Linked DNA regions of Drosophila melanogaster. The protein of the gene in region 1 purifies or fractionates together with the protein of each later gene. This does not show direct contact. Each region holds a gene or a part of one and is shown on either strand. Other genes may lie near its edges. The genes, in order: vvl and grh.

Evidence for each region.
Region 2: the proteins of vvl (region 1) and grh purify together in Drosophila melanogaster (affinity purification with western blotting; one study listed by BioGRID). This does not show direct contact.

The regions. Positions count from the first base shown.
Region 1 is NT_037436.4:6,783,736-6,801,735, forward strand, and holds vvl (ventral veins lacking), read left to right. Parts: upstream 1-6,422; 5' UTR 6,423-7,090; coding exon 7,091-8,374; coding exon of another isoform or gene 8,375-9,319; 3' UTR 9,320-11,206; downstream 11,207-18,000. UniProt on the Drosophila melanogaster protein: Binds to a DNA sequence element required for the expression of the dopa decarboxylase gene (Ddc) in specific dopaminergic neurons. Could also play an early role in specific ectodermal cells, and a subsequent role in the embryonic nervous system.
Region 2 is NT_033778.4:17,795,079-17,810,856, forward strand, and holds the start of grh (grainy head), read left to right. Parts: upstream 1-7,167; 5' UTR 7,168-8,313; intron 8,314-13,020; 5' UTR 13,021-13,332; coding exon 13,333-14,576; intron 14,577-15,778. Other genes in the region: Dhit (double hit), read left to right, coding at 49-350, 518-526, 1,976-2,053, 2,124-2,185, 2,250-2,538, 2,607-2,691. UniProt on the Drosophila melanogaster protein: Transcription factor that binds a CNS-specific regulatory element of the Dopa decarboxylase (Ddc) gene. Also interacts with sequences adjacent to other transcription units, including Ultrabithorax (Ubx) and engrailed (en).

The DNA.
Region 1 (18,000 bases):
TGGGGGAAAGAAAAATTAGTTTAATCATAAAAATGCTCGACATCGATGGCAGCAGAAGAAGACAACTCTTTGGGGGCAGCTACCTGTTTTGAGCAAGAAGATGACTTCAATTAAAAGCTTTTAACAATATCACGTACGGCAAATCGCTGGAGCGCGGGGGGGTTGAGAGTCTGATTACATCACAGTCCTGTGGCGGTCTCAATGGAAAGAAAGACTACTCCATTTTTTTTGCGTTTTATTTCGCCTTACTTTTTTGGTCGGTTATCAGGTGTAAAGCATCGCGCTCAAAGCGGTTTCAATGAAAACGCGTTTGTGTCCGAAGTCTTTTGATTTTTGCCACATCTCTGGAGGATAGTGGTTCAGTAGATACCATCGCCGGCTGAGGTTTTCTGCACGTGCTATATCCACCTCCGTCAGTCGCCCGCAGATCAAAGAACTCCTGACCACATCTCCACGCCAAAATAAAAATAAATATAAAAGTTGACCATGTCACGTCAGGGCGTCAAGTCTTTGTCGGCACAACGTTTTTTTTTAAGTTTTTCGCTCCTGTCACTGTCAGCTAAAGTTAATAACAATAACAGTAACAGTATAAGCAATTTCGGTCGCAGCGGCAAAAACACAATATTCGGCGCATGCGCAACTTTCGGGCGTTTTTCGGCAATCGTTTCGATTATAAAAATTTCATTTATGCCTTATGGGCGATTTGCAATTTCTGCGCAATTTGGTTCGGCGTGGCGCGTGTGACTTACGAAATAAAAATGGCGTTTATGGTTCAATTAAAATTCATTTAACCAGAGTTGTAAATAAAAACAGAAATTATGTAAAAATGAAGGATTATTTTTGTTTGTTTTAAATACCTACCTGGTAGACTGAAAACATAAATGTAAAACTGATTCTGCTCTTCATCAAAATCTAACAACATTAAAATATTATTAAATATAAACTTTAAACAGTCTTTCATTTCAAGCGAAACTTTTTAATTTGCAATTTTTATGGCAAGGTCAGAGGAAACTCACCACTGTAGAAAAACCCACCCCTTGGGCAGATGGTTCGTGGAAAGGCTAAGTCAGGGGTTAGAAGGGTTCACTTCCGCTTCCTATAAGAACCGAAAACACTAAGAACTCGGGGCATAAAAACAATTGGACGAGTTGATTGGCCTTTGATGTGCCAGGAGGCATTTGGTGTGCCAGGAAAAAAGTGTCAGTCGGAAAATGTGTGCCACTGTTTTTGTCGCTAATGATATGCACCCCTGGGCCTAAAAGGCCACGACCCCTTGAAATGCGATGGATATCGTTTGACGCAATCGTTTTTTTTTCAGTTTTTCTGTTTTTCGAAGGAAAGCAACCAACATGCGTGCCGTAGTTGTGCCATAGTTTGCAAGTTTGGGCACTGTTTGAAGTCCCAGTCACCTGGGCACAGGAAAAGGAAGAGTCGGAGAACGCGTTGCCCTTTTGACTGCATTATGCAAATGTTCCATGAAAAGAGATTTTTATTGACATATGTTTTTCCCTTTTTGCCGCCCGGCTTGTAGGTATTTCGTTGAATTTCCTGTCGCCACTTCGGTGGGTGTGAACAGAGTTTTAATTTTCATACATTTTCCATTTTCCAGCCATCATTCTTGGGTTGGGTTTTCAGTGACTGAGTGCTTTGGTTTGCATTTCAAGCCGATTGAAAGTGAGAGGACAGCACACAAAAGTGAAGTTTATGGAGATTTAACGCCTTAATGAATTATTTATTTTTCTAGATTTTCTCATTAGCTGGAGTTTTCCCAAATAACGAAACCAAAATCCAAACTATTAAACTCTAATCTCGAAAGTGAGTTAAGCAAATGCAGTGTTTGGGTTTTAAAATGAAAATTGATTTGATTTTATGATGTAAACATAAATATATTGTTTATATGATGGGTAATATTGTTTATAACTTATTAATATATTTCTCAGCGAATTTTGGATTTTTGATTTTTAAGTTAACATTTATACATGTTCATGCTTTTAAATTTACCCTAGTAAAGTTAAGGCCTTTTTGAACTGTTCTTCTTTAATCGGCTTTATCATAACCTACTTAACTACTTAACGAGCGTTGAAAGCAACGCTTACCCCACATAAAGGCAAAAAAAAAAGTTGGAAAAAAATTGTGTCCAGGTGTTGCAACGCTTTTTCGTACCTCCTCTATGTCGTTCGCCAATAATTCACGACCCTGACGGGTTCGCTCTGCCTATGGGACGTGTCACAGCGCCGCAGAGATAAATTAGTTAATAAATAAAAGGGAAAAAATGCTAACTAATTTGCATATTTGCCCTTTGCGCGGTCTCATTGACAGTTGGGCGTCGGGCTTCAATGCCAAAAGCCAATGAGGCGCACCAAAAATGCATTTAAACCGAAAACGGGGCGATGGGTCGTTCTTCTACCCTTTTCGATAACAATTGCCATTTTGTGCTCCGTTCGCATTTTTACTTTATGTTTTTTGTTGCTGCTGGTCTGTGTTTTTTTGGCGGGACGCAGAAATTTTCTATTTTGGCTGTGCTAATTTGCATATGACAGCAAGGATGTGCGTGTGTGTGCTGGAATTTTGGCAAACTCTACTTCTGAATTGCTCTGCCAGCTTGTGTTGGTTCGTAGGTAGCGAAAGTGAAAGGATTCGGGCCGAAGACCCAAAGGATAAGCGCCCTGATTGCATACCAGAGACTTTTTTAACGGCCGCTGCATGCAAAATTGCAAAAATTGAAATTGCAGAAGGGCCACACGAAACAAAAAAAAAGAAAACGAAAGAAAATGATAAATGGTTGGGTTGCATCCACGGGAGATTCGGATTTGCCTATATGCAATTTGCCTACACGGATAGATAGTTGACCTTGCCGAAAAGCGTAATAAAGGGTTGCTCAAGGGTTGTCTTCTTCGGCGGCCTCGTCTTCAGGACTTCCTCACCATCCTGTTGTTTTCTTAAGTGCTTGTCTCTCCGCTATTTTTTTTTTTTGGCGCGCAAAAAATAATCGAGAGTTGGGCATATGGTAACGAGTTGTCCGAGGCTTCTTCTTTTTACGCAAATGGATTGCAGCTGATGATGATGCCTTCGATGTGTCTCTCTAATGAAACGTTTGTTTGCAAATGAGCAAAATAGATAGATCCGGAAATGGGGTTGGGGTGAAGGATGGAAAGGATGGCAAGGGGTTGGGAGGACGATGCTAGGATTATTTGCATGAAATTTACTTTGAAGATGATGTAGGTAGGACAAGGTAGGGATTAATTGAATGCGAGAGTTTTAATCGATTCTCCTTGGGTTACCTATCAAATCAACTGGGCTTCTAAGGGTTAACGTTCAAAAAAGGAGATCGTATTATCTGTTAATGGTTGAAGGGAATCATGTTTCAAATGATTAGATGGCTTATGGATTTTCTGTCTTTAGTTAAGGTTACATATTAATTTTAGAACACATTAACTTGTGCCCAAGCTAAAACTTCTTTGTTTGTTTATAGCTTTTATTAATTTGCTTTTAATTGCCTTTTTTAAATTAGAGTTACGACTAACACTTAAAGATATACACCCACTGTGCCGAGTGGCATATGCAATAAAATAATGCTCTTCATGCCGAAAATCCTGTTCAAATGCATTAAATACAGCTTAAACCGATAAAATTACTTTGCATTTGCCACAAATTAGTCGACGTGTTTTATTTCCCCCCACAAATATAGAGATTCGCATACTTATCGAGTGTGTGAGCGAGTGTGCATTAATTGTATTGCGCGATAAACAAAGCGATCAAAAGCAGACCAGTTTATATGTTTTGATTCGGAAATTATGGCACTTTAATTACCAAAGCAGACGTTGAGGTTTTCGGCTCTCGCTCGCACTCGCACTCGTTTGCCGGTCGGGATGGCAAATTAATGCAAAATAAGAAAGAAAATTATGCTAATAATTATAAACAAGTGCGGCCCGAAAACGAGGTGTGAGATAGAGACAGCCGACCGGAGAAGGAGACGGGTAGATGGTAGATGGCCATATAAAAATGCAGCCGAAATGCTAATCGAGCTCATTATCATCCAAATCAACGGCGCCGTGGACGCGGCCGCCACGAGATATCTTCCATTCATAAACGCAGCGCTTAGTTGTATATATATATGTATATTTTCCTGCTCATTTTTTACCATCGCATCGTTTTTTATTTACTCGCATGCGGCGCATAATTATGCAACAAGTCCTTTGCTGGCCACAAAAACCAAAAACGCGGCGCGTGCGCATTTAGCATATGGACAAAAAAACGTAAAGCAGAAAAAAGTGACAGAATCACCGAGGGAGGATGGCCAGCAGAAACAGGATTTCTTCCTTCGCTTCGACATTTGAAATTTAAATACCAGCGTTTTTTTTTTGTTTTTTGTTTTTTACTCACTCGCTGTTGTTATTTAGCGCCGCCACCTAATTATCATGTAAATTTTTGTCTAAGGACCAACAATGACTGTGACTTTATTTTGTCACTGGGGTTTTTGGGTTGGAAACGCTTGGCTTATTAATTATGCCCAAGTGCGTGGCCAAAGGATATGGTCATGGAAAAAAAAACGTAAACAAATTTCATGCAAATACGCTCGAACTTGTCTGGCTTGCGTCTGCTCGGCTGGATGACCTTAGTTTGCATAATTTTTTGATTGAGCTCTTGACCTGCCTCAAAGGGGTCTAAAACTATGCTAAGTATTTTGTGGTGGGTGTTTATGGGATTCTTGGGCTAGTTATGTGTGCCAGGATTTATTAAATGAGAAAATATATGAGAGGGTAGCTTTGAACATTTTATGCATTAATTAAATATATTTTTTAAGTGGGAAAATTCTGAATATATGTTGACATATTTAAGGGAAATAGTGGGAAAATAATAAGTAATTTTTTTTTTAGAAAGGTAAATTTGGTTAAATAAGCTATTTTATGTCTGCATATATACATTTGACGGCAATTGGCTTTGAAGGCGAAATAGATTTCCATTGATTGTGTGCAGAGTTTCATTCATTCATTGTTTTAGGAAACATAAACTTTTACGGATATTTTTCATTTGATTCTTCGCATTGTCCCATAACGCTCCGCTAAATCAAAAAACTTTAAAACTGCACAGCCAGAAACAAAAGTCAGTATTCCAATGATAACTTTAACGATGGCAATTCCTTTAGCTATGCAAATGTATCGCTAGTTTCGCATTAATTTCGCAAAACTGATCATAGAATCAATGAAACTGACGGATGAAGTGAATCAATATCTTTTGTCAGTGAAACATAATTTAACTGTAAAGCAGTCAAAACACAGTCACAAACACAATGAGCAAAAGAAAGATATCAAGGTGGAAAAGAAAGGTATATTTTATGTAGGCAGCCAAACGAAACTTATATGCATATGAAAAAGAAAATTATAAAATATTCATCGGTAAAATGGTTATTTTTTTAAACGAAAATTTTAAATATCATTTCATACTAAACACTAATTTACTTTCTTTAATTTAATTAAGCTTCACTCACACATATTATAAACTGAAAAAATACAAATAAGATTTTCTTATATAACACATTGGTTAAATATTTAATGGGACACGGTCTATATAAAAAATATTTTCAACAGAATTCAGCGAAATTTGAATTGTCCAAATTCAAGTTCAAGATTTATTTATTTTTCATATTGATAATCAAATATTATTTGCTCTTAAATATTTTTACTATGCACACTTTTTTGGATGAACGATAAATAGTTAAATATTTAAACTGTTTATTTGTTTAATTCCTTTTCTACGCCACGTTAGTAATATGTTCTTCAAATCGCAATGGCAACCACTCCAGATGTCCCCCCTCCCAAACAAACACACACACTCACAAAGCCAAGGGAAAAGTTGTCTGGCCAAGGAGCTGCAAGGAACTGAAACAAAGCTCCCCGAACGGGAGAGAGAAGTCCTGGACGCAAAAGCTCCAACTGGGAGATGGCACTACGTGTAATCCCTGTGTTCCCGATAGCTGGACTCGAAGAAATCGAGAGATGCGCCGTCGCCGTTCATATCATCTCTCGCCCTCTCTCGCTCGCACTGGGCACTGGGCAATTAAAAATGTCACTCTGCATGGGAATGCACTGAGGGAACTTCGTAGAGCCGGCTCTGGTATTATTTTTTCATCTCATATATTTTTTTTGTTTTTGTTGGTTTTGGGGGCGTAACGCTGGAATACAGCGAGCCCAATAGAGCGCAAGTCTCCCTTCCAGTTGCTCGGTAGAGCGTCTATCTCGCTTGCCGCACCAATGGCGGTGCTGCTCGCACACATGGAACGCTGGAAGGCCAGCGGACAAACTGGTTTCGCTCGCCGGGGTGTGTGTGCGTACTGCGCTCGTTGGTGTGCGTAAACGTATCGGTGTGACGTACCGCCGAGCGTCGAGAGCGCTCAACGTAGAGCTGCGGTGCGAGACATGACGTTAGTTCACTTCGATAGCTCTACGAGTCTGCACGTGAATTTTCCCTGGGCTCTCGGCTGTCTTGACTGCTCAAATCTCACAACACACAATCTCAAATCTCAATCGGCATCGAATCGGTCAAGCAACCCAGTAGAAACACACATTCGAGAAATCTCAATCTGTATCTGAATATCAGAGTTCTGCGTTCTGACCACTGAGTTCTATCGATGATTTAAATCGTTGCGAAAAATCGCCACAAAAAGTGCCAAGTGTTAGAAGTGCTAAATGAAATTCGAAAATAAAAAAATCTAAATAAATAACCAAATAAAACGCAGTTAGCTCAACGCTAGTCAAGCTAAATAAACGTGAAACCCCAAGCAAATTGCCGTCGGATTTTTTACTTAACCCAAAGCTGAAATAAACTTGTTGAACGCGTTCGAGGGCCACGCCCCCAAAAAAGCAAACGTCGAACCCAAAAAAAAACAAAATAAGCGAAATAGAATATTTTTGCGCCTGCCACGTTGCCCGTAAAAGACGTCAAGACGGTTGCCTCACGGTTCGAGTGGAATGAGCATAGGGACCCTGGTCTTCCTTTCGATCGATCGGTGTACAAAGTCGTTAAACTGAGCCCCAACTTGGAGCCCTACCCCGCCAGCGTGGAGGGCCTGAACAGCCCCAGAGCGGTGGGGATGGCCGCGACCTCGTACATGACGCCGCCGAGCGGTGATCTGGACATGGCCCTCGGAGGCGGTGGCTATCACACCTCGTCGCCGCGCTCGGCGGCTGATGCCGGTGAAATGAAGTACATGCAGCACCATCATCATCATCATGCCGCTGCCGCGGCAGCTGCCCACCATCAGTTGCCCTCGTCGCCATCGCCCAATGGCCAGGGCAATGGTGGCGGACTTGGATTGGGTTCCGGTTCCGGGTTGGGCTCATGGAGTGCCCTCCATCCGGATCCGTGGATGCAAACCCATCATACGCACCATCTGCCCGCCGCCGCTGCCGTTGCCTCGGCCGCTGATACCGTCAAGCAGGAGATGTCGCATCTCTCGCAGCAGACGCGCATCCAACAGGGCATGGCCTCGCCCCATGCCGCCTGGCATGCCCCCCATGCGGGACACTATGCGCCAACGGGCGGGTCACCGTTGCAGTACCATCATGCCATGAACGGAATGCTCCATCATCCGGCCCATGCGGTTGCAGCGGCCCATCATCAGAGTGTGGCGCCACTGCATCATACGCTGCGCGGGGAATCGCCACAGCTGCACATACACCATCACATGGGCGGCGGCGATCGGGATGCCATAAGCGGCGGCGAGGAGGACACTCCCACGTCCGATGATCTGGAGGCCTTTGCCAAGCAGTTCAAGCAGCGCCGAATCAAGCTGGGCTTTACCCAGGCCGATGTGGGCCTGGCACTGGGCACTCTCTATGGCAATGTGTTCTCCCAGACGACCATCTGCAGATTCGAGGCACTGCAGCTGAGCTTCAAGAACATGTGCAAGCTGAAGCCGCTGCTGCAGAAGTGGCTGGAGGAGGCGGACTCCACAACGGGTTCACCCACGTCCATTGACAAGATCGCCGCTCAGGGGCGTAAGCGCAAGAAACGCACCAGCATCGAGGTGAGCGTGAAGGGGGCACTGGAGCAGCACTTCCACAAGCAGCCGAAGCCATCCGCCCAGGAGATAACCTCGTTGGCCGACTCCTTGCAGCTGGAGAAGGAGGTGGTACGCGTGTGGTTCTGCAATCGGCGGCAGAAGGAGAAGCGCATGACGCCGCCAAATACGCTCGGCGGCGACATGATGGACGGCATGCCGCCGGGCCATATGCATCATGGTGGCTATCATCCGCATCACGATATGCACGGCAGTCCGATGGGCACACACTCCCACTCGCACAGTCCGCCCATGCTGAGCCCACAGAATATGCAATCCTCGGCGGTAGCGGCGCATCAGTTGGCGGCCCACTAGCAATCAGAAATCCAGGAGTCGAACTCAGCTGCAGCTGCGTCCACTCCTGCATCCCTCAATAGTCTAAGCCAGCAGCAACAGCAGCAGCAGCAACAGCAGCAGCAGCAACACCAGCAACAGCAGCAACATCAGCAGCAGCAGCACACACCGAATACACCATCCTCCAGTGCGGGATCATCGGCTACGATGACCAGCCAGGTGATGTCGCCGCAGAGTCCGCTGGGCAGCTCCTCCGCTGGCAATCAGGCTAACAACAATAATAATAATAATAACAACAACAATAGCAGCACCAACAATAACAATAATAACAATAACAACGAGGAGCAAGTTAAACACCACCAGCAGCAACAGCAACAACAGCAGGCATCCAGCATAGCAGCCGCTGCAGCAGCCGCCATGTACATGGATCCCATGCGCTACCAGCATCCGCACCACCCGCATCCGCATCCGCACCAGCATCCGCACCTGAATCCCGCCCACCATCCGCACCTGTTCCACACGAGCGATCAGTTGCAGCACTCGCAGCAGCAGACCGTCGGCGGCACCAGCAGCAACTCCCAATTGTCACCGGGTGCCGGCAGCAACAGTGGCCTGCCACTCCAGCCGCCCAGTTCCGCCTCGCCGGCCGGATCCGCATCCTCGGTGCTTGGTGGCCATCTCAATCTGAATCCGCTGCACCAGCACCACCACTATCAGCACCACCATCACCAGCAGCACCACCACCACCAGCAGCAGCAGCAGCAGCTCCACGCCCGCCGACTCTTCGAGTTGAGTCTGCAGTTTGGAGCGGCGGCGGCACCGGGAGCGGTACGGCACTTTAACAGCTTTGGCGGGGCGGGCGGAGCGGGTGGCGAATAGCATTCGTCGGCCGCCTGGTTCGGCTATGAGTCCTCCTAGGATTCGGCGTCGAATGGGTGGCCGCATTTCAAGCGGGAGCAGCCCTAGAATCGTACAGTCGAACTTCTCTAACGCGAACTCAGTTGGTTCGATTCGAATGATCGCAAAAGTAGCTATCTAAAATTTAACTAGCTGTGAGCATTTCAGAATATTTCGTAAGTCATAAGAATATTTTTGAAATTTTTCAATATTTTATTTCTGCGGTGTTTTGAGGTTTTTTAAAATTTGAAAATAGCATTTCACAGTGTTCTTAAAATCTGTTACTAAATTGGCGACTGAAAAAAATCATTTTAAACATATATACTTAAACAATATGAACCATATTGAGTTCCACGTTAGACAAGCTCGACTGTATGCAAATCTTTAAAGAATAGAAATAAGATGAGGTCCGTCGATGAGGTTGAGAAATCATCTTTTTTACCAGTGCATTAATCTGTGTTAAACTTCAGCTTAAATAGGAGCAGGGAGTGGAGGAGGTGGAGAAGATGGGGAGGCTGCCATCCACCATTTTAGTTTGTTTTAAAGTTTGAAAAACTTGCTTAAATTAAATCAAATTAACTAAATTAAAATGTAAACGAAACATTTCCTTTGTATAAAAGCGAAAGAAACACGCAATTCAAATCAAACGTGAAACCAAGTGATGTTGTTTTAACCTAAAAACTAAATGCTAAAAAATTAAACTAAATGAAAATAAAAAAAACAGAGAAACTAGTTAAAAGTGCGACCCAAGTGTTAAAGAAACCAAAAAAGACAAGCAAAGAAAACAAATTCCTCAGCTGCTCTCCATAAGCAAGGTAAATGTTTCCATGCCCAAAAGTCCACAAAATATTTTTTCGTTCAACACTTTGTCGCCGTTTAGATCAAGTAAAAAAAAGGCTCAATGAGAAAGAAGGCAGCGGTGGGAGAACTCGGTGGGTTCTAGATAGGGTCTAGGTTCTTAAGCAAGCCGTGTTTATATATATTATATATATATAGCCAGTAGATTGTACTCTAAAACATCTATAAACGAACAGAACGTAAAACAGAAAAAGAAAAACGTAGAATTTAACGCGCGGCGAAGTAAACAAAAATACGAGATGAAGGAAGGATTAAGTAAAATATGAGAAAACCCCAAAACATCTGTAAATAAAAACTTACAGTTAAGTCATATTTTTTAGCTTTAAATGCAATTGTAGATTTTTTAATAAGCCCCCCTAAGAGAAAAATCATTAAAAATACAACCACAAGCGAAAAAAAAATAAACAACATTTACAAAATATAAATTTTAATTTTTAGGCGGTAATTTTTAATGAATAGGCACGTGAAGTTTAGTTACTTAGTACTGTACTTTCTATATAAGCAAAAGGAAATCGAATGGAAAACAAAAATGAATATAGCTAAATCTTAAAATTTAAACAAACCAATAATAATCAAATACCACAAATGCTAAATTGTAATATATTAATTGATGTACATTAAAACAAAAGGCAAACTAAATGCTAAACGACAAACTTGAAATTATTTCAAAAACAAAAATAAACGAAAATTGTGTAAAAAAAATCATCTTTGTGTTTTTTGATATACGTTTACATTTATGTCTACTTTTTCTATTTTCTTATACAAAAACCTAAAAAGAAAATCAAACCTTATCCTTTGGTGTAACTTTATATATTATAGAATCTAACGAAATTTTTGTTTAGTGTACTTTGTTTTGGTATGTTGAAAACTATGCTGTAAGAGCGAGAGAAGCGAAGCCGAATATTTAAGATTAAGCCATGCCCTCAACTGTATAATAAATTATATAGACGTACATATATATGCAACAGCAAAGTCAACAAAGCGGTGCATTTCCACCTACACATACACACACCCACACACCGAGGAAAACCAAGAAGAAAAAACTGAAAAGCAAAAAAAAACTCTTAAAAAAAAACAAATAAAAAAGAATATTATTCGAAAAAAAAACGCACCGTCCTTTTATTATTATTTAATTAGCGGCATCATTTATTTGCATTTACTTTCGTCCGCTTTTTGGTTGTGAAGTTTATGAGTCGTTGGTTTTGACAGTTTTACAGGAGTTTTACGGCCACCTTTTGCAGATGCTGGTTACGATAGGGCGTTTATATCGATGAAATCGCGATAATTGCGTGTATTATTAATTTCGTTTGTTTGCTTAAAGTGTTCGAAAAGCCATTAAATAATTAAGTGGGCACATTATAATGTGATTGCCTACGTCAGAGAGGGAGCAATTGGCAATTAACTAACAACACAACTCGCAGATCGAGTAATACCGCTCGTTAATGAAAGTTGCCATTAAAAAGCGTGGCATTTCGTGAAATTACCCTTTTATAAGGCCTTAAGTGCTGCTGGAAGCACCTGATGGATCTCTGTTTGTCCCTGGTCAATGCGCAATCGTTGAACAAAACAAAAAGAGCACCGACGTCAATCGAAAGGCGATTAAAGTGACAATTTGCCAGATTTACGCGGTCAATTTAATTTACGAAATAAGTTGGGTGTATTTTTCGTTTGCAGAAATCATTCAAAACTTCCCAATTCGTCAAGGTATTAGTATTATGTTTAAGTCCTTAAATTTTTAACAATTTAAGTTGTTTCCAAAAATGAAAAACAAATTCATGAAATACCATTAAAGTCGTCTCATTCCACCTGCACATTGCCCCCTGGCCGCCTTATTGTCATCTAATGTACCGCACGCTTTTAACATTTAATTTATAATTTAAATGCATATTTCATTGGATGCTGATTAACAATTTTGTGCCGAAATGCTATTGGTTAGTAATTCTGCATAAAAATTGCATCAGCCCGAAAAATACATATACATACATACTCGTATAACCCGAGCCCTCTCACTCGCTTTTGTGTGCGAAATAAATTCGCATAATTGAAAGCCAGTTTTAGGCTTAAATATATAAACAACAACTGCCCCAAAAACAATAACAGTAACAAATAACAAATAATAACAATAATATATATTGTACAGAAGCGCAAGTGCAATGATTTATATTTATGCGACGGCAATAATGCCGTTTAAACAAAACGAAAATATCGGTTGTTATTTTTGTTGAAATTGAACTCTTGGCGCGCGTGGTTTATAATGTTTCAATAAAGCGTACGGAAAATGAAAAATAAAAATGAAAATTATATTTTCCGCACCAAACTAAGCAAAAACACCCACGCGATGCGCTTCATGCACTTGAACAATATAATATCGACAGTATTATATTATCCACCCATATAATTATTCTCTATGCTCTCTTAATTATTTTCTAACAAAAAAAAAGAAATAATAGACGGCGAAATGAAATGAAATTTAATGGGGAAACAACATGGCTGCCCACAAGCCTATTTATACGTTTATCTATTGCCACCTGCCATTTTGGGGTAGTTGAACACACACACACACACGCACACACCCACTCGTGTAGATGAAACCTGCCCCTCGGGCTATATAAACTTTTATATGGAAAACGGAAAGGAAAGGTTTTTTTTTTAATGGTCATGTGCTAGTTGAAATGCGCTTTAAGAATTTATGGGATTTTCGAAGGATTGTCCAAAAGAAATTGGGGGAAATTCCTGACTGATTAATCATGGCTAATGGATTTGCTGTATTTAAATGTGAGGTAATATGAGGTATTTTCATATTGCTACTTATTACATATTATATAAATTTGATATCTTTACTTATTTACTCCTTATCTCACACAAGTTTTAGACTTTTTATATTGCCGATTAATCTACCTAATGGCCTATTTGAATAGGCGAATATATCAGCTCTATATATTTATTTTCTCCTCTGCCTAATGAAAATTATACTACCATTTTATAGTCACTCCATAGTTAAAAAGCACATTCCACATTATTCGATGATAAAGAAAAGCCACTAATCTACGAGGGCAAATTGTAGTTTTCATTGGTTTTAATGTTGCCGTGCGTGCAAAGTGCGACAGCGGCGGCAACACCCCCTACACACCCTCCCCCATATGTACATATTTAAGTATATATATATATATACCCCGACCATATCTATAGAGAGAAACCCCTCCTCGAGGCAAAACTACCGACATTTTCATTATTATTTCGAGTGGAGTTGGTTGGTTTTTTATTATTTCGCGTGGCAAAGCAACACGCCGCCTGCTTTTGTACATTTCACTGTGTGTGCTTTTTGGGCTGCGTGCATACAACCGTGTCAATAATTACCCGTGGGACTGACACGACCAACGAGAATCATTCAAATGTTGCAAAGGCAGCAGAAGCGGCAGCGGCAGCAGCAGACGCAAAAGCACCAGCGTTCCACTAACAATGGCTAAAACAAAAGCTACAGCGGCGGCAGCTGAGAGACACTGAAGCTGGTGAACCGGCAGCAGAAGTTGGTAACGGAGAATCGGGCCACAATGGTCTCGGGCATATTGCCATTGTGGCATTACTGCCGCCACTCCGGCAAAATGGCTGACTCTAGTCAACGTCACCCGAAAGCCAACTGACGAACTGGCCGACTGACCATTCCACAGGAGCGGATTAACTATGGGTTTTGGTCCGGGCTTAGAATTTGGGAACTATAGAAATTACAACATTCAAGCATCAAATTAAAATTTATATATTAAATTATTTTTACGCTTGCCAATTTATTATTATTATACGCTTAAATAATATTATATTTATGTACTATATTATAGTATATCTACAAACATAGTTTACTTAATAACTTAATAATACATAATAGCTTGGTAAGCTTTCGAAACAATATTTAATTTCTAAATTTTCGAAATATATTCTTCTCAGCTCTCTAAAGGTCCGAACTCGTGAAATCCGCCCCTGTGATTGGGCCGCACTTTCCTTCTGTGCGACTTTGGCTTTTGGCTCCGGCTGGGCGACTTTTCCACTGACATTCGGAGTGTCGGGGACTCTGTGCTCATTATCTATGCTTCCTTTGGGAATTTTCATTTTCTTTTTCCGCGCTCCTCTGTTTTTTTCTTTTCGTTTTTTTCGTATTTTCAAAGTTCTAGCCGTGTGCGTTCGTGTGCGACATTTGTGCAAAGGAAAACAAAAGAAAAGACGAATGAACAGCACTATCCGGCTGGAAAGTACTACGTACTGCGTATATAAAATTATATAGGTGTACTTGGCTATTCTTGTTTCGTTCCGAGCCAAATCAGTGCGTTTGGTATTGTAAAACCTTGCGCTAATTACAAAATTTATTGCCTCTTAACGGAGCCCTCGAAAACGTAAGTCAAGAGCGTTGGAAATTCTTTTTAACTACCCACAAAAAAATGAGATGTATGTATGTATATGTAAAATGGGAGATACTCCCACCAGCGAATTAAGCTGTGACTGTGTGTAAAGTGCAGGTAAAACAAGCCACAAATTGGGATGAGACAGGTGAAGGTGGTGGCGGTGGCGGTGGTGCTGAAGGTGGTTCTGTGGTGCGGGGGCAGCAATTGCCATTCGACACCTTCGACTGTGGAGCACCTACATCAGCTAGACACCTAGACAAATAATGCGGGCAGGCTATATATGGACGATCATAGTGATAGATATAAGTGAGCTTCAGGGAGCATCAAGGGGACGTTTGAAAAGCTTGGAAGAAATGGGCAGATTTATTGGGCAATCTATTAGTTTGCTCGCTATCAAAATATTTAACTAGTGAAAGGAAACCTTTTAAAAGCATTTTCAAAATGTTAATTTGTATTTACTTGTCTACAAAGCAGAGGTGCCCAACTAAAATGTAGCCGCTTGTTTCTATGGTATTAAGTGATAATTGTTGAAAGTAAATAAAAGGTAAAGAAAAACAGTGTAATTTTGAAACATATCTGTACAATGAATTCCAACTGTTTGTTACGATTCTGTTCTAAACATTGTTGAGTAGTAACTCAAAAAACTTCATACTTGGAATCCTTGAAACTTCGCTAACTCTTTGATCAAACCTCGCAGTCATCATCTATGACAAACAAACAAACATCTCTCTAATAAGCAAACGCAATTGATGGCTGAACCATGACATTGTCGCCGATCTGCGGTCGCCGCGGATTGCCATTTAAGTCTCATGTGTGCAGTCCGCAGTGTTGGCCAAAACTGTTGAAAATGCGCGGGTTATTAATGGCTTTATAAGCTGCTGCCGTTTCTACACCTCGATCCGCACCTGCGGGGCGGCATTTGGCAAGCAAATTGGCAGCGGTATTAGCCACTAGTTCAGTTGTTGGCTAAGAAAAGTCCAATCCGGAGTTCGCGATACCAAGACCCCCGCGATCGTGCTGCGCAGTGTCAAAGCCAACCACTTTGCGATGTGTTTTAGTTTATTTTTTGTATTTTTTTTTGCCGCTGTTATTGGCAATGTGCTGCTGCTCTTTTCGCTGCTGTTTGCGCACATTTTTAACGTATAAATAAAAAGGCTAATGGGTGGGGTGGCTGGCGCGCAGATAAAGTCAAACTCTGGGCCACCCTGGCCCGGGTCTCGAATCCAATTCGAACTATTAAAACGATATGGGAAAAAACTATGTTCTCACACACAATTTTGCAGACAGTCGCAGACGTTGCTTGACATTTGGCCAAACGTCTGTCGGCCAAAACCGGCAACAAGGTCGCCCAGCGCTCAAGATAGCTATCTAAAAGCAAATAGGAGGCGCATGCACTGGAAGAAATGAGGGCAAAAGGGGGCTGATATCTTTCTTCATTACTGAATACTATAGCAGGAAGATGTAGTAGATACTAAGATAATTTCACACAATGAATTGCTAACCATATCGGCTTACAATATTTATAATTCCCTCCAAGTTGTGGTGTAAAGAGTAAAGTAGTTATTTCCAGTGCATCTCAGGTGCAGTATAGAATTCGAGAATTTGAATTTGAAACCGGCAAAAGGCCGTGAACGAATGCCATCGGCATCCAGCGGCGGTCAAGTGCATGGGGAGCAGCTGATGCTGACGCCGATGCCGCAAAACGATCCAATGCAGTCTGCTCACTGGGAGCCATAAATCTCTTAATGAAAACCGGCAATAATCTTTTTGCCGCCGGCGAAAATCAAACTGAAGCGAACTGCAGCGAACCGAGCTGAGCTGAGCTGAGCTGAACTGAACTGAACAGCACATCCCGGAGTCAAGCGCGAAAAAATGCGCAAAAGAATTAATAAACAAAGTAGCCGAGCATGTTGGCATTCCCCCTGCTCAATGGGGGATGAAGAATCCAACTCCGACTGCAGCTCCAGCCTTAGCTTCAACAGCCATGATGCAGTAGGAGTTGCAGCACTTCGAGAAGAGGAGTAAATGTGGAAGATGGGCGAGTTATTTGCTGCGCATGAGCGCACGTGCTGCCAGCCTTAATGCTTTTTCAGGAGGAGAGATGTCGATGCCACGCAGTCGACGTTTTCCGTGGCCGCACGTTTTTGCACTCGGCCAACGTTGCGCATGCGCATCATCAAAAGGCAAACAACGGCAGCAGACGGACGGACGACTCATCAAAGCGCCAGCATCGACTGCATTTGCATTTCTAATTTTCCTAGCATTTTTCACATTTGCAATGCACCGCGAGTGACGCCGCATAGGCTGCTCGGGGCGGCGTGGAAATGGCAGAGGTGGAAAATGCCGAGGCGCCGCTTCGCCATTTCCCTATGGCCACTTCTAGCACCGTATAAAAATGGAGTTAGAAGTTCGAGTTCTGCCGAATATAAGCAGTGCATATTTTTTTTTATTTTTTATTATATATTACACGGTATATAAACTTATTTAGAATTCAAGTCTTTAAGTTTACAAAGACATCTCTCTAGCCGGCATCTCCGCCATCGTTACACATTGATCACATGCAAATCTTTGGTAACAAAAATAAAACCGTATAAGCTGAAAATACCTCCCAGCGATGAGTATTGTCGTCGGCCTGTCTAGACTTTCAAAATCTGACAGATCATCATCAACCGAAAAATCCCAAAAAATACGCTTTGATTCAGCTGTAACCCAGCAATCGTCGGCAACAACAAGAGCGGCAAACAAAGTTCAAACAAAAAAAAAAAAAAGAAGAAGTTAAGTTTCGTAAACGCATTGGCTTTTTGTTTCTGCTGCTGTTGCTCTTGTTGTTGGCCAAATGTTGTTAGTGTCGGCGGCAATTTGACTACCGAAAAGTATTAAACAAAAAGCCCCCTCAGCATGGCTGAAAATCAATACAAACAGCAGACCGGCAAACGGAGGCCAGCGAAAAGATTGGAAAAAATAAAAGCTTAAATATTTGCAAAAGAAATCGCTGAAGCTGGTAAAATAAAGGTAAAAAAATATAGGTATAAAAGTTAAACAACAACAAGAACAACCTTTGGCCAACGCGGTAGCCATAAATCAAAGTCGCGTTAATGAAAGCGCAATTAAAACGGGCTTCCACCGTTTTTTTGAGGGGAAATTCAAGAGGGAGTGCGGCGGTCAGCATACATACATATTTGGGCCAACTTAAAGCGCAGGAAATTAAATTTTATGATGCCGAGTCGAGTCGAGTCGCATTGGCAGCTAAGTTGGCCATTTGGCCATTTGGCCATTCGACCAGGCCCAGACCCAAAAGCCAACAGGCCAATGCAATTGTTGTAGTTGTCGCGCCACCGTCGCAGTTAAATTTTTGCATTTTGCAGTCGTACTCATAGTTTCTTTGGCCGTCTGAAAAGTTGCACAAGGTTGACGGCTGCGAAAACTTTTATGCAGCGCCACTGACACCAACACCCACACGCGGCACCAAGACTCCAAAGTCAGGCAAGAGCGGCCATAAGC
Region 2 (15,778 bases), on another chromosome or scaffold:
ACAGTGTTCATTAACGTTTCAATTTGTTCCTTTATTGCAGGTAGCGGCATGTCCTGCACCGTTTCCGAGCTGCCCAGTGGCTGTCGATTGCGCGGCATGACTGCATCCTCACAGCAAAGTGCCGCCAACAATAGTGGCAACAATGGGAATGGCAATGGGAACGGTGGCGGCGGGGGCGTCGTCGGAGGTGGCGGCAGCCTGGGCGGAGTATCGCCCACCGTGGGCGGCAGCGTGGGAATCCTCGGCTCCACGTCCAACGTGCTGCAGGAGTCGAACGCGACCACGTTTCAGCGTCCGCAGTCGCAGAAGCCTTGCTGCTTCTGCTGGTGCTGCTGCTGCTCCTGCTCCTGGTGAGTATGGAGGCCACCACCGAGTGGCCTATTTGTGCACCGCTCGAATCCTCTGACACGAAATCAATTTCTTTCTCGTTACCGCGCTGCCTTGACTCAACCGTTCGGTCATTAAAACAACTACCTGTGCCAATACCCATCCACTGCCAACCACATCCTGACAACAGGGCCAAATGGTAAGCACCTCCTGAAACACTCATGCATTCATACACCGAGAGAATCGATTGGTATTATTGGACTGTAAAGTATAGAATATTAAATGCGCAATTATTTTAAATACGTAATTATTTTACCTAGTTAGCTTTATTTTCAAGATATACTATAACAGATGAACCAATCTTTGGTTACATTAACATCGTTATTGTTAATTAATTTATTTATTTTTACTTATTTCAATATCAATTTTTTGCAAATTTTTTATTTTTTTATTTTATAAATCATTTCATTTTAAAGGTTGTCTGTTTGAGCCCTTTTTTTAAGAGAGTCGAAATATTATTAGTCCATGTTTCTCGCAGTGCTGTCATGGATGTGGCCACGGTTACAGCTATGGTTATTGCTTTGGCTTTAACTATTGCTTGGCTTTGGCTTTGGCTTCGGCTATGGCTGTGCCCACTGACATGGATATGGATATGGATATGGATAGGGAAGTTGAAATGGAAATGGACACGGTAAAGGTGGCCTTCTGCTGGCAGCTGGCAACGCTGCTGAACATCCAAAAGCTCTTTCTCTCTCCGCCATGCGAACTTTCTCCGCTTTCTCTCTTACGAAACGCTCTTTAGCACTGGTGCCGCTCTCTCAGTTTCTCCCGCATTCATTCACAATTCCGTGAGCAAGGCGACGGGCAGCGAAAAGCTCTCTGGAGGGCACTTTTCAAATCAAATATAAATAAGTATGTGGCGGCTCCTCCGCGGACTCCTCCAAGTGTTGCATGTTTTCGTGAATGAAAACGAAAGTCTTTTGCGACCCGCCGCCAACTCGCAACCCCCCGTCCGCACCTTTGTGTGCACAACTTGGGGGTATATCGCCCCGAAAACCCAGTTCAGAGCACCCGATGTCGCCTCAAACCCCCCCTGGCCGCATCTAATTTGATTCATATATGTATAGGGGTATATGTACGCCTGTGTGACTTTGATTAGGTATTGGGCCAGCGAGTCGCTCTGATAACTGTCGTCCAGATAAGAGAGCTTTATGTCAAGTTCGAGTACTCCGTTGCTCTGTCTCCGGGCTTCGAAACCCAAAACCGATATGCCATTAGCCTATCTACAGTGTTTATTCGAGGCATTATATCTTTATATCGCGTTCAGATATATGAGTAACTTTTAAACTCTCTAGCTTAAAATGTGGTAGAATCGCTTATGTTCAGTTTCTATGTTTGGTGCAAGTGTTTTATAAAATGCTAATCAGTAGCTTGCGCTATCTAAAAGTTTACGTTATCGAGCGGCTACTGTACTTACATATTTATGCTATTTTGTGCCAGTTAAAAATGAGTCAGGCTGAGCGCCAATTCAGCGATGAATAAAATTGTAGTATACTTTAAAGGGTGATTGATGAGTTGTAAAATCAAAATAATCGACTTTTAACAAGCAAACCCCCCTTGTTTTTTCCCTTTTTTCTTATCTTTACAGTCTGGCCATCAAGAATGCCGATGAAAATGCCCCCACGAAGCGAGATCTGGTAAATGCCGAATTCTTGGATGGCGAGCAGTGAGTTTGAGCACCAATCAACTTAATAAACTTAAGCCACGGAAAAACTACATTTATTTGTACATTACAGACCCACACTGGAGGAAATCCGCAGCTGGGGCAAAAGCTTTGACAAGCTGATGAAAAGTACAGGTAAGCCATTGACAATTGCCACCTTGATCCAAACTAATTGGTGGTTGGCCGAATATTTTCCCAGCTGGTCGAAAGGTGTTCCAGAACTTCCTGCGCAGCGAATTCAGTGAGGAGAACATCCTATTCTGGCTGGCCTGCGAGGATCTCAAGAAGGAGAATAGCCCAGAGTTGGTGGAGGAGAAGGCGCGCCTCATCTACGAGGACTACATCTCGATCCTGTCGCCCAGGGAGGTGTCGCTGGACTCCAGGGTCCGCGAGATTGTCAACCGGAACATGATCGAGCCCACGACGCACACCTTCGACGAAGCTCAAATCCAGATCTACACACTGATGCACAGAGACTCATATCCGAGGTGAGTGCTCTTTAGGCAAAAATAAAAGATACTGTATTTATACTTAAACGGGGTATCTTTTTCAACAGATTCCTAAACTCTCAAAAGTTCAAGACACTAGCTCAACTGCAAGACAACTCGAATGCCGGTTCCAAAGCGGATAGTCCAACTTAGAGAGGATGGCTTGATGTCCCGGATCGGATTTGGATTTGGATTTGGATCGAATTCAGTTGCGCTGTGTTGACTTCCGCTGTTGCTCTCCACTGGTATATCTCTGATTTTCCGCCCCAATCGCTGCTGCAATCGACTAAGCAATATGTATCCATTAGTAGAACCATTTAACCATTTTGCGAGCAGCCACGAAATCAGGATCCTGGTTGGGGCCGGTGAATCAGACGTCGTGCGTTCAATGTGAATCGGATTCCTTTCTCTTCCTACGTTCTAGTCGTTAGCTAACCAAAGAGTTAGGTATTACAAAATATGTTTTCACTAAGAAGCAGGTTCGACCACAGAAAGCATTTTCCAAAACAACCAAAAAAAAACAAAAAAACAGAAAGAAAAACAACAAGAAAAAAATACCCAGAAAGCTAATACGAAACGAGCGACACAAATAGCATCCATTGTAATACTAGTGATCTAAGAGACGTATTAATCAAATTGAAACCAAGATTACGGAACCCGCTAACTGATAAGTATGTTTAAACGTAATCATAAACCGCAACGTAACAGAAATACTTTTTCCAAAAAAACATTACAAAAAAAAGAAGGAAAGAAACCAAAAAATCTTTTTAAACGTATTACATACATAAACTTTATAAACTTATATATACAACACACCAGCATATATATATATATATATATATATAGTAAAATTGTTGTTTTATTTATGAGTCGAACTAATGTCCCGTCAGTTGACTAAGGACAACGCCAAGAAATAAAAAATAGTTTTTAGGAGAAATAGTTTCACGACTTTATTCTTTGGATCTCAGCTTAAGACTAAAAATCAAATGCAAATTGGATTGAGGAGAAGCCTCAGTATTTGAACAATATTTGTATTTCGGGAGAGCCTCGCTCTTGGGTTCTTAAGATTAGGTAGCGTTGAAAGAGGGCAGTCAAATCTGCTTAGGTCAGGCTTTAGGATGTTTACAAGAACGGCTGCGCTGCCAAAGATAAACGAATGCTGCGCAGCTGGGATACGTTATGGAAAATTACTAGAGTGCATTACTGATTTCTTTGAAATAATGGAAGTGGCTGGTTTGGACCACCCAAATACGTCACTATATATATATATAAATACGGATATATAGAGACATTTAACATGACTAGTTTTGAAATCGTTTTAGGTCATACGAGTAATGACATCGAAGCATTTTGTAAATACAACAGCAGACGGCAACACTTTCTACTTTCTTATGAAACCCCATTGAGGATCAAGTCCTTTCTTAAGCAAATCTTACAAAGCCTCATCTTGAGCTGTACTTTGAGCCAGACCACAACAGACCATACACACCCCATAGAGTCTTATCCAAATGCAAACCGGAACAAGCGCATAACTAACGTGTACTATATTATTTCGATGTCGAGCTGATTTCCAAGTCGAAAGAAGAACGTTTCGCAATATCACTGCCAACACAAATAAGAAAAAAAGAATCAGAACTTCGCAACAAAATATATCCACTTACAAATGTATTATGCAATTGTTTTTCGTTAGAAAAGCGGAAGTTCCAAGAGTTTCCTTGCATTGCTCCCTTTCTGCATTCAAAAAAAAAAACATATATTAAAAAACAGTATTATAAATAACAAAAAAAAGGAAACACAAGAGTATGGTTACATTTAAATTTTAGCAAACAAGTTGTCGAATTGAAAACTAAAAACAAATATAAAATATGAAAAAAACCAACAAATTTATAAGGAAAAACACAGAACAAACAGGAGGACTTTCGGTTCGAGCCCTGGCAAAAAGTTAACAATGTTATTTCGATCTTAAGTTGGTTTCCTTTGACCTTAGGTTGTTTGTGTTCGAGGCACAATATTTTAAAGTACAATATTAATGTGTGTACCTTCGTTGCGGGGAGCAGGGAATGTATTTTCGTAGCTAGTTGGTGTGCCTAGTTTTAATGCATCTATCGATACAAAACCCCATCCATCACACTCTGACATGAACAAGAACAGCAAACACAAGTATATTAACTTTACTAGCAATTAAACAACATCTAGTTTACTCAAAGCATATATGATTTCAATATTGTTTTCCACCAATCGAGCCAACGTTACTTACTTTTCTTATTCTCAAATCTTAAGGTGCTCAGCATAAGGACACCAAATGAGTTTTTCTTTAATATAGAGATATTTTTGGAATACCCCCGCATAAGTTCCTATATTTTTATAACAGCTTAGACACGATCGAAGGTCCGATTTCTGGATTCATATGGTAAATCACATCTCCGCCTAGTCCTTTGAAACTTGACTTTCACGCGTCACTCAGGCTGCTACTTGGAATTGAGAATTCGACAAACGCCTTTGCATTATAGTGTTCGATGAGATCGGCAGATCCGCGGATCGGTGAGAATCCGAGAACCAACATCAACGTTTCCATGGTTTGTTACATTAATTTTAGGCAATCAGGTTAGACAAAAATGTCCTGGACAAAGGGACGCGCGGAGGGATGGAATGTTTGTTTGTGAATGCTTCTCTTCGGTTTCTTACTTTTGCATAACGGACAGATATAAGACTTTTTGAAGAAAAAAACCAAATATATAAGTACATTTAATGCGATTGTTGTTTGTTTTTAGTTATATACACCGCCACACTCGCACACAAAACACACACACCGATACATGCATACATATATATACTACTTAGCGGTATATGTACAAAAACGTAATCAAGCATTAGTGAAATGTTTCGACCAGTTAAAAACCACAAATTAAATTTATTACATGAAAATCAACTAATGTGTAAACGCAAAAACGGCAAAATCAATAAATAAAAAATGGATTAAACTAAGCCTAAATTTAGTTTTAAACATTTAATATATTGCAACAATAAACCGAAATGAAAATAAAACTCAAATTCAAACTTGAGATGCAAGTGTTTGTAATTGGGCTCCTGGAACTCAACATATTACATTAAATATTTTTAATTTTATCTTTATTTATTGTTACTTATCATCATGAATGTACTTTTTAAATATTTACTGTAAAATTGCATTTTACATAAATATTTTACATTGCGTAGAATGTCTAGTGCTTCAGTGAAAACTAGCGCCCGCTGCTTTACGTTCTTAACCACAGTTCCACGCGTGCGCAGCGCCAAAAGACAAACAACGTGAATTGGTGAGTGCGGGATCCAAGTGGGGGGAGCTCGGAGGAAAGGAAGCTGGGGGGAGTCACCCTTTACCATGGCGGAAAGCACACAAGCACCGTCCGTCGGTTCGTCCGCCGATCCACACGACACAGCGCTGATTGCCGCGCCGCCTGGCGAGGTGAGGTTGTAGGAGCCCGACTGAGGTTAACCGAAAGCCAGGCCGAGAGAACGGAACAGAGAGCGGCGGAGGCTGCGGCGGCACGGCAGCTACTTGGCGTTTTCGATTGTGGTACATGCACAACTATTTTACGTATGTATGCCACACGGAGAAAAAAATCCTTCATTTCACAGTGCTAACAATTCGAGTTGATTTATTTGATTTTATGTTAAATATATGCAATATTCGTAAATTTTTTTAATATTTAATCATACAAAGTGCTTTAGTGATTTAGCTTGTGTATAGGAAACCTATCAACAGTATTTTATATAAGAATTAAGAGTTGAACTATATTAATTATCTGAACTGCTTAACCGCGGAATAGTTTTCAGAAAGTGCATCTTTGTATCCAGTAATTTTTTGCAGGGACTTCTCTTGGCATGCGGTGATCTCGGTCTTTCTCTCCACCTCTCTCCCGCTGTTGTGTGTGTTTGTTTCTCTACCTGATGCCCGATTGCACTACCACTTTCACGCGGTTTACAAGCCGAATGACAACAACAAAAACAGAACAACAAGGCGGCGAGTTCGAAAGCGAAGTAGAGTGAACCGAGCAGCGAATTCGAATTTTCGACGATGAATGCAATGCCGCAGCACAGAAATAAACGCAAAGTCCGGGAGATACGAAATGCAGGAGCGGTTTGCCCGTGTCGAGGGTGGCTGTGGCTCTCTTTCTTGCCCTCTCTCTTTCTCTCTCTTTTGATCTGCCATCTCCCTTCGCCGCAAGTGCATGCTGAAGTGGAAGGTTCGTTGCCTAAGTCTTTTGTACCTGCCTGCGTTTCGGCCTCTGCAGGTGCACCCACACACACACACACAGATGGAAGCACTGGGCTACCTGTGTTTTAGATCGCACTTGTATGGGTGTTTGGGAGTGTAGAGACAACATCATCGATTCGAATGAATTTGAGTGGCGCTGCGCTGCCGGCGTCGCTGCCGCGTTCGCTCAATATCAGTTACGAAAGAGATGAAACCATAAAAAGCAATAATAATCGAGCGCTCTCTAACCAGCGCCGCGAACACAGACATCACCTTGCCACCAATACAACTGCACGACGACGTCGGCAGAGGTGGCAGCAGCGGCGGCAGCAGCACATTCAACAGTTGAACAATCTCCAATTGACTCTTTGGGCATTATAGCCAAGAGCCGAGATCCAGCGACAGCGACGACAAGTTTTCCGCGCACACGGAAAGTCAGCAAGTTAATACACCGAAAATATATAGTTTCAAATCCGACTAATCGTTTCAAATCGAAATTACCTGTGAGTGCGCGTGTGTGTCGCGATATTTGCGAAAAATCCAAAAGTTTCTACGCCAAACAAACAGCAAAAAGTCGCGCTTAAACTTTTTCGAAATTAAATAAAACACACACACGAATTTCAGCCACGAAGAGGAAGAGAAGGCTGAAAAAGCGAAAAAAAACCTCGTGTGTGTGTGCGTGTGTGTTGAGTGCGAGAGTATCTGTGTGTGTGTACGTGTGCATGTCTCTCGGAGAGCGTGAGCTTAAAGTGTGCCTGTGTGTGTGCGCTTGCGAGCTGGAATGAGACGCCATCAAAGCTGAGCAGCGAATAATAAAATGCAAAATAAAAATAGTGATTAATAACAGCAGCCAGAACCAGCAGCAATAACAAATGCTAGTGCGGAAAGCGCGTAAAAAATAGTGAAAATACTCATAGAAAAATAGAAAAAACAACAACAAATTGGCTTGAAAACGCAAATGCCAGGCGCAACGCCCCCGAACCGACCCGCCCCCTCAACTTTTGCGCCCTCCAGTAGCAATAGCAGCAATATGAGCAGCAGCAACATCAAATGTTAGGCCAAAATGCACAAACCGCCAGCAACAAAGGCAGCACCAAGCGAACGAAACAACAACAGCTCCACATACCACAAAGAGTGGCACATTAGAAGCGGCCAAAAGCAGCCAGCCGAGAGCATTGTGTAAGCCAAAGGCCCAGAGAGCCAGGCTAAAAGCCCCCAGACGCACAACAACAACAACAACAACTAAAACAGCACAAAGAGTGGCGAAAGGTGCACCCACCAGCAAAACAGCAACAACGGAGCAACCAACAACAGCAGCAGCAGCAGCAGCAGCCACATTTCAGTTACAGCTCCAGACTCCCAGGTTGCAGACTCCCAAAGCAAACAGACTCCAGTCCACGATCCAGCTCCAGTTCCACCGATCCGATCCACTGCTCCAGCGTGCTCGAGTGCCATAGATCCTCACCAAGTGCCAAAATCCGCATCCTGATCCCAAGAGCTCAAGGCACCCCGGCCCAAAAGTGAGTAGTACTTAGCCTACCAAGAAGTAATTATAAACGCATCAGGCTATGTAGCCCTGGTCGGTTCATGGAGGGATTACACCGTCAGAAATATAGCACCCTATTGACCATTTGGTTTTCGGCTTATAGATCCCTTTTTTCGGGAGATTCCATCACAATAGCTGGTATTCCCAATAAAGAGAGCAATAAAAGCGGGCATTTTTTGGGCACTACTAGGGTGTAGAAACTTTTCAAAAATAAATATTTTTCAAAACTTGATATTTTTAAAAAACATATGGTATTACCAAACTATAAGATATATTTTAGCTAGATTTATACATAGTACGTCAAGTTGATTCGATGGAGTTAATAGAAAAATGGTAATTGGATATTATTTCGATATTATTTGACAACGACAATCTCATAGAAATATTTTTAAACAATTTTGCTGGAGATGTAGGCATAAAATCCATTTAGTTCGTGCGGTTTTAAATTAAAATGCATTCTGCATGTTTTTTTAATAAGTTTTATTATATCTATACGGCTAGGCATTTTAAATGATTTCAAATGTATTGAAACTAAACGATTTCATTACCCTGCTGGCCAGTGTTGCTTTTGAAAGCCTTCGTTCACAGTGGACACCCTGTATGTTGTGCAGACGTAGCCTAAGTCTCTTGGTCCCAGCCTCAACTCGTGTTGTTGTTGTTGTTGTTGTCATTGTTGCTGTTGCTGTTGCCGTTGTGTTGTTGGTGGTATCTTTCGCGCACACATTCCTCTTTGTTTGGTTTTATTTTGTATTTCGTATTTCGAAGTGGCCGCTGCGCAGCGGCAGCGGCAGGTAAGTCGCACAGGTATTGGTATTGCTGTCATATTGCCGTTGTGCTCCCAACAATACCTTGCTAGAGCGGGAGAGTTGGCCATAAAGAGCGGTAGCGAGAAGGGATCAAGACGCCTCTGTCTCGGTCTCGGCCTCTGCCTCTGCGTCGACGTCTACTGCGCAGCCTTCTTGTTCGAAAATCGATGATGTTGCCCAGTGTTTGTGATTACGTTTTCCCCTGGACTTTTGTGCTGCCTTTTGCCTCTTATGTTCTCAGCTTCTTTTTATTATGATTTTTATTTTCTTTCTTTTTTTTTTTTTTTTGATTTTTTCCCTTCTTGATGATGGTGATCAATTTGGGGCTGCGATTATGGTACAGTAAAATGAACATCTACGCAGCACTCACACCGCCAGACACACAGATACATTCAGCCGTGAGATACACACGCACACAGCGAAACAGGCACATGTAACCCACACACAAAAAAAAGGGGGAACTTCGTGAGAGAGTTATTTTATTTTCGTGTTCGTGTTAACGTTTATTGTTTTTCTTTTCTTTAGCCTTTCTTCGTTTCTTCGGGACTTCTTGACTCCGTCTTGCAGCCGTTCCCGTTCCCCTTCGCGCTCGCCACCCCTGCCCCATCCATGCACGCCTTTATTTCCCTGAACATTCCCAAATACACGGAGAGAAAAGGGGATGCATTGATGGTGATATTATGAGGATTTATTTATGCATATAATTATTCTTAAAGAGGCTAAGAAGTCAAAAGCTAAAATAAAATCGTTTCAATGAGTTTCTATATCATCAGATTAATAATATAACTCAAAGTTTTGAATCGACATGGCATTTCTTGCCGTGTACCATCTACCAACTCTCCAGTCTCAGTCATTGGTTATTGATGCCCAACAACTCTGACCGTTGATGTCTTAGGGTTACGCTGCGCATTTCTTCTCTTGTCTTTTCTCCACCTCTCCCATCTACCCCTCTCCATCCCCCCCCTACATTCACGCGAAGTAAGGTAAAGATACGTAAAATCCAAATTTCAAATTATGTCAAATCTTAATGGGATTTGAAATGGAATTGCTTTCGGTATTCACTGTGTATCTGAAATCGGTGGTATCGGGGGGAATGGTGATCGTGGTTTGGGGGATAATAAAGAACGAATGACCATAGATCTCGTTGTAGGCGTTGTCTGTATGCAAAGGTTAGATGGAGGGCTTATTTTCACATGTGGTGACTTCCAGTCGATAAAATCGAAGAAAATTAGTAATGATTGTTTTGTGAGAAGGTTGATTTACTCATATAGTGATCATACCTGCATAAACCCCAGGAAGCCAACGTAGGTAGATGTATTAGACTAGATTTATTTGTTTCGACACTTATATTGCAAACACACTGCTCAAGGAAAACCGACTGTTAATTTATCAAGGTTCTATAGTTATAAATATGCAAATTGCTTTCGCCGCGAAAGATTTCCTTATGGTGATCCAGTATTGAAGCAAATATGTCTATACGTTGTTGAACAATTTTTGCATATACGTTTTAACGTGATTTACAGTTTATTGTTAAGCCAATCAATAACAGTAATTGCTCATTAATTACCTTGTATTACACTTGTGTTCGACGACTTGTTTTGATGATCAAATAGATTTAAAACTTACACCTTACACAGTAATAAGCAATATTTAATAATTTTCTTGCTAATACTTGTAAAAAAATATATCTTGCTACATATGCTCTATGGTCTTCCGCACTTATAATTGTTCCTATAATTTTTGTGGCGCCCCCGGGTGGACATTTCAATAGGAATAATTTCTTTGAGAAAGTTTCTCTCCAGAAATATCGCTATTGAGATTAATTTGGATTATCTTCTCCACATCGCTTCCCTTTTCTGGTCATAATCTAAGCCAGCAGCTACTTTTCTTGTTGCTGATTTCTTTCGCACCCACCGCATGAGTGATGGATCTTGCCCAGAATCCATCTATCTCCGGCTGGAGGTGCCAGCTTCATTGCCATTCTCCGATCTCCGCCATTCAAGCGGCAAGTTGGAAAGTTTTGTACGTAGCCCCGAGGGTCTTCGCCTGGCTGGTAATACATCTGACCCAGTTCGATGGATGCGTTGGGATCACTTGCGAGCCGGGGTGTTGATGTTGGTTTAATTGTTTCCTAATTGCCTTTCCACATCGACTTTCATCGGGCAATCGTTTCTGATTGTTTGTGCCAAAAACTAGTCTATAAACAGCATGACACTGACCTCACCTACTAACGGAATACCCACAGACCGGGTCCGAGGAGCCCGTCGAGATCGTCGTGAACTCACCGGCATGGGCTGCCAGACACACCGAAAAAAAAAAAAAAACGGGTTTATCCACATCCACATCCCAGCAGTGAACTCTGCGGCGGCGGCACCAGTAATTTTTTGGCTTTATCATCAAACAACAATATATGGTGGGGGGGGGGGGGGGGGGGGGTTTGTGCAGGGGGACTGGACGTGGAACTGAACCTGGGCCTGGACCTGAATCTGAACCTGGACCTGAACCTGGGCACGCTGTGGCTGTTTCCGAGGCTGCGGCAAGGCGTGGAACCAGAAAGTCAGCCTTCTGGATTAGGTCAAGGATTGAGATGCCGCTGCTGCTACCGGTGTGTATGGTTTTGGTGTGTGCCGCAAACTGGAGAGTAGTACCTGTTCTCAACTTGTTGTCGATGTCGATGTTGTTTTGTTTTGTTTGGTTTCGGTTCAGTTCAGCTCAGCTCAGCTCAGCTCAGCTCTGTTCAGTTCAGTTCAGTTCAGTTTCAGTTTCGGTTTCGGTTTCAAAATCCCTCATAAACATGTTTTGCTAACTCGCAGATTCTGGACTATTAACAGCTGATGGACTGACTGGTTTTTTGAGACGTGCAACGTTATAGTGTACACTCTGTGTTTAATTTCACACAAAGCACCGTTGTAAACAAAACACAAATATGGCTGAGAAGTTGGCTTCTCTGTTGGCGTCGACAGAGCGACGTTGGCAGCGACGCTTCTTCCACCTGTTTGGCTGTTTTGTTGTTTTGTTGCTCTGCTGTTTGGTTGTTTTGTTGTTTTGCCGATGTGATGAACCGCACTGAGTTATGCAGTTACACGTTTGACATTTGCGAAGGAGTCAAACTAGTTCGACGGCCACGTGTGTGCAGGCCAACTCGGCTTATTTATTTGTATTTTTTTTTTTCTTTCCGTTTTCCGATTTTTTGTGTTTGCCCCTTTTTGTTTGTTTGTTGGTTTGTTGGCTGGCTGGTCGTCTGTTTTGTGTGCTTGCAAATCGCTTGTCGTTTGAACCCGTTCCGCTGGCTCTTCCGTTTATGTGTGCCTTCTTTTTCATTTTTTTTTTTTCACCTCATTTTCAATGGGGGTGTGTGACTGCATCGCCAGTGGGTCGAGGAGGGGGCGGGGGCGGGCGCCAAGCAGACTGCCGCCAGACAGTGCCACTTTTGTTGTTGCTTCAGCGGCCTCATCGTTAATTGAGAGTGGTAACGGGGGAGGAGGAAGGGAGGTGTTGCTGCAGGGCTGTTATTGCCAAATGGGAAACACCTTATAGCATATGACTCACACCGTAAAAGTGTTGGCTTAGACTAGCGTGAAAATATTTTAATTATTTCTAACAAAACTATTAAAATAATATGGCTTTCTCAGCTTGTTAGTTAGGCATTTAAAAAAGCAACAATGTTTTTAAGACTTGCAATGATGTAGAAAAGTTTTGTTTCAGAATATTCGTTATAAATTCTTTATATTTTTGCTATACTTTCTTTCTACAACTTGCACCCATAAACACAACACAATTGTTTTCATTACACTTCACACTGGAAACTTGACTAGGTCTTTATCAATTTCACCTTTTTTACTAATTATGAACCATTGTTTTTTGACCAATTCCAGTTGAGCTGAGAACGAAACGAAGGAAGTTCCTTAGTGCCATAGAAAGCAGTTAATGAAACAACGACTAAGACGAAGATCGACCATCCAGAACCGGAGGGAGCTAATTGCGAACGAAAGAAACCACAAAGTGCCTTCCATCAATCCGTTGATAAGTGATATTTATTATGTTTATACTTGCCAGCAGCCGAGGCAGCAACAGCAATAGCAACAACCATAGGGGATCACGGCATCGATGATCAGTCCACGACCAAGTCCTAGTGCAATCCGGAATCCAGTTCAAATTAGTTCAATAAGCCGTATCTACCACGTATAATGTCCACATCCACCGCCACAACGAGCGTTATCACGTCCAACGAGCTCTCGCTGTCCGGCCACGCCCACGGTCACGGTCACGCCCACCAGTTGCACCAGCACACCCACAGCCGCCTAGGAGTTGGCGTTGGTGTTGGCATCCTTAGCGACGCATCCCTATCGCCCATCCAACAAGGCAGTGGCGGCCACAGCGGCGGAGGTAACACAAACAGTTCACCACTGGCGCCCAACGGAGTGCCACTTCTCACAACAATGCACCGATCACCGGACTCACCGCAGCCAGAATTGGCCACCATGACGAACGTCAACGTGCTGGATCTGCACACGGATAACTCCAAGCTGTACGACAAGGAGGCTGTATTTATATACGAAACGCCCAAGGTGGTGATGCCAGCGGATGGCGGGGGTGGCAATAATTCCGATGAAGGTCATGCCATCGATGCGCGGATTGCGGCCCAAATGGGCAACCAAGCCCAGCAACAGCAGCAGCAGCAACAGCAGACGGAACACCAGCCGCTGGCCAAGATCGAGTTCGATGAGAACCAGATAATCCGGGTGGTGGGACCAAATGGCGAGCAACAGCAAATCATCTCGCGGGAGATCATCAATGGGGAGCATCATATCCTGTCGCGAAACGAGGCTGGTGAGCACATTCTCACACGGATCGTCAGTGATCCCTCCAAGTTGATGCCCAATGACAATGCAGTGGCCACGGCCATGTACAACCAGGCCCAAAAGATGAACAATGATCACGGGCAGGCGGTATATCAGACATCACCATTGCCGCTAGACGCGTCTGTATTGCATTATAGTGGCGGCAATGATTCGAATGTAATTAAGACGGAGGCCGATATCTACGAGGATCACAAGAAACATGCGGCTGCAGCAGCAGCTGCTGCCGGCGGAGGATCCATCATATACACCACATCCGATCCGAACGGAGTGAATGTGAAACAACTGCCCCATTTGACGGTACCCCAAAAACTTGATCCCGACCTCTATCAAGCCGATAAGCATATAGATTTGATCTACAACGATGGCAGCAAGACGGTGATTTACTCCACTACGGATCAGAAGAGTTTGGAAATATACTCGGGCGGCGACATCGGCAGCCTGGTGTCCGACGGCCAAGTGGTGGTCCAGGCGGGACTGCCGTATGCCACCACCACCGGAGCCGGCGGCCAGCCCGTCTATATCGTGGCCGACGGTGCCTTGCCAGCGGGAGTCGAGGAGCATCTGCAGAGGTGAGTAATTGCCCACAAAGGGCGTTTAGCTTAATGAAGGGTAGCTGTGGAAAAGGGTTGGTCCACTGCCAAGTGGTTTGTTATTGTGCTCGAAATTCCAGAGAGCTGTGACCCTTAATTAGTGGCTCAATCGGAGCTTGAAAGGGTCCGAAGTTTGGATACAAAGAATCGTTGTTACAGATTTGGTTTTTTATATATCGGGCATAATATAATGTTCTGTATATAACAATTTACAGATTTCATTTAGCTAGTAACCATTATACCATTTCAAAAGAGAACGTTAACTAAAAAATTAGTTATAGGTGTCTCGAAAATATTTTGTAAGATCGTTTATCTAATGTCGAGCCTGTGTTCCGGTTAATATCCTTAACCCACGGACCAGCCCACTCAACTATTCATTGAGCGCTGTTCTATCGGCTACATAAATCTCGACTAATTGCCTTCGTCATGGCGGTCAGTTGCAGCTGGAGTTTGAGTTGTTGCGGCTGCTGGTGGTAATGGTGGTGCTGGTGCTGCGGTTGGTTACCACATCAACATCTTAATTGGGGACAGCAGAGTTTTAGTTTGGATTCGGTTTGTGTCCCCCTCTGAAGTCGTGGTCCTTTCAAATCAATGTTTGTCATTTGCATTTCTCATGCATTTGAATTAACCGCTCTTGCCGCGCGCATTTTACTGTTAATTATTGCGATAGGCCAACCGGCAACGGCAGCAACATTGCTGCTGCAACAGCAACAGCAACATCACTGTCGCAGCAACGCCAGCGCATTCTGGCCATACCCCATCCACTGACCAAACATTGAGTTCAGGCTGGTGTCCTCATCCATGCCCATTCCCCGAATCCCCATGCTCCAAACTCCAATCCATGCTCCATGCCATGCTCCATCCTCCATTCCCCCAGTGGAATGACAGCTTCCGTTGTAACTGTTTCTTCCATACGTTATTGCTGCCCCTGCAAACAGCAACAACAGCAACTTTGGCATTCTGGCGTGCATCGAATGTGCAAGTAGGCGAGCTAATAACACCCAGATCCAGCACCACGGCTCCACGGAAACCCCCATCGCCATCACCAACCGCATCCCCATTCCCATACCGAAACCCAGTCGCATCCTCCTCCTCCTCCTCATCCGCCAGCGATCCGTTTGGCAATTCATTTTAGAGCAGTCGACGTCGAGCAGTGGTATGCGCGGGTAATAAAAATTTGA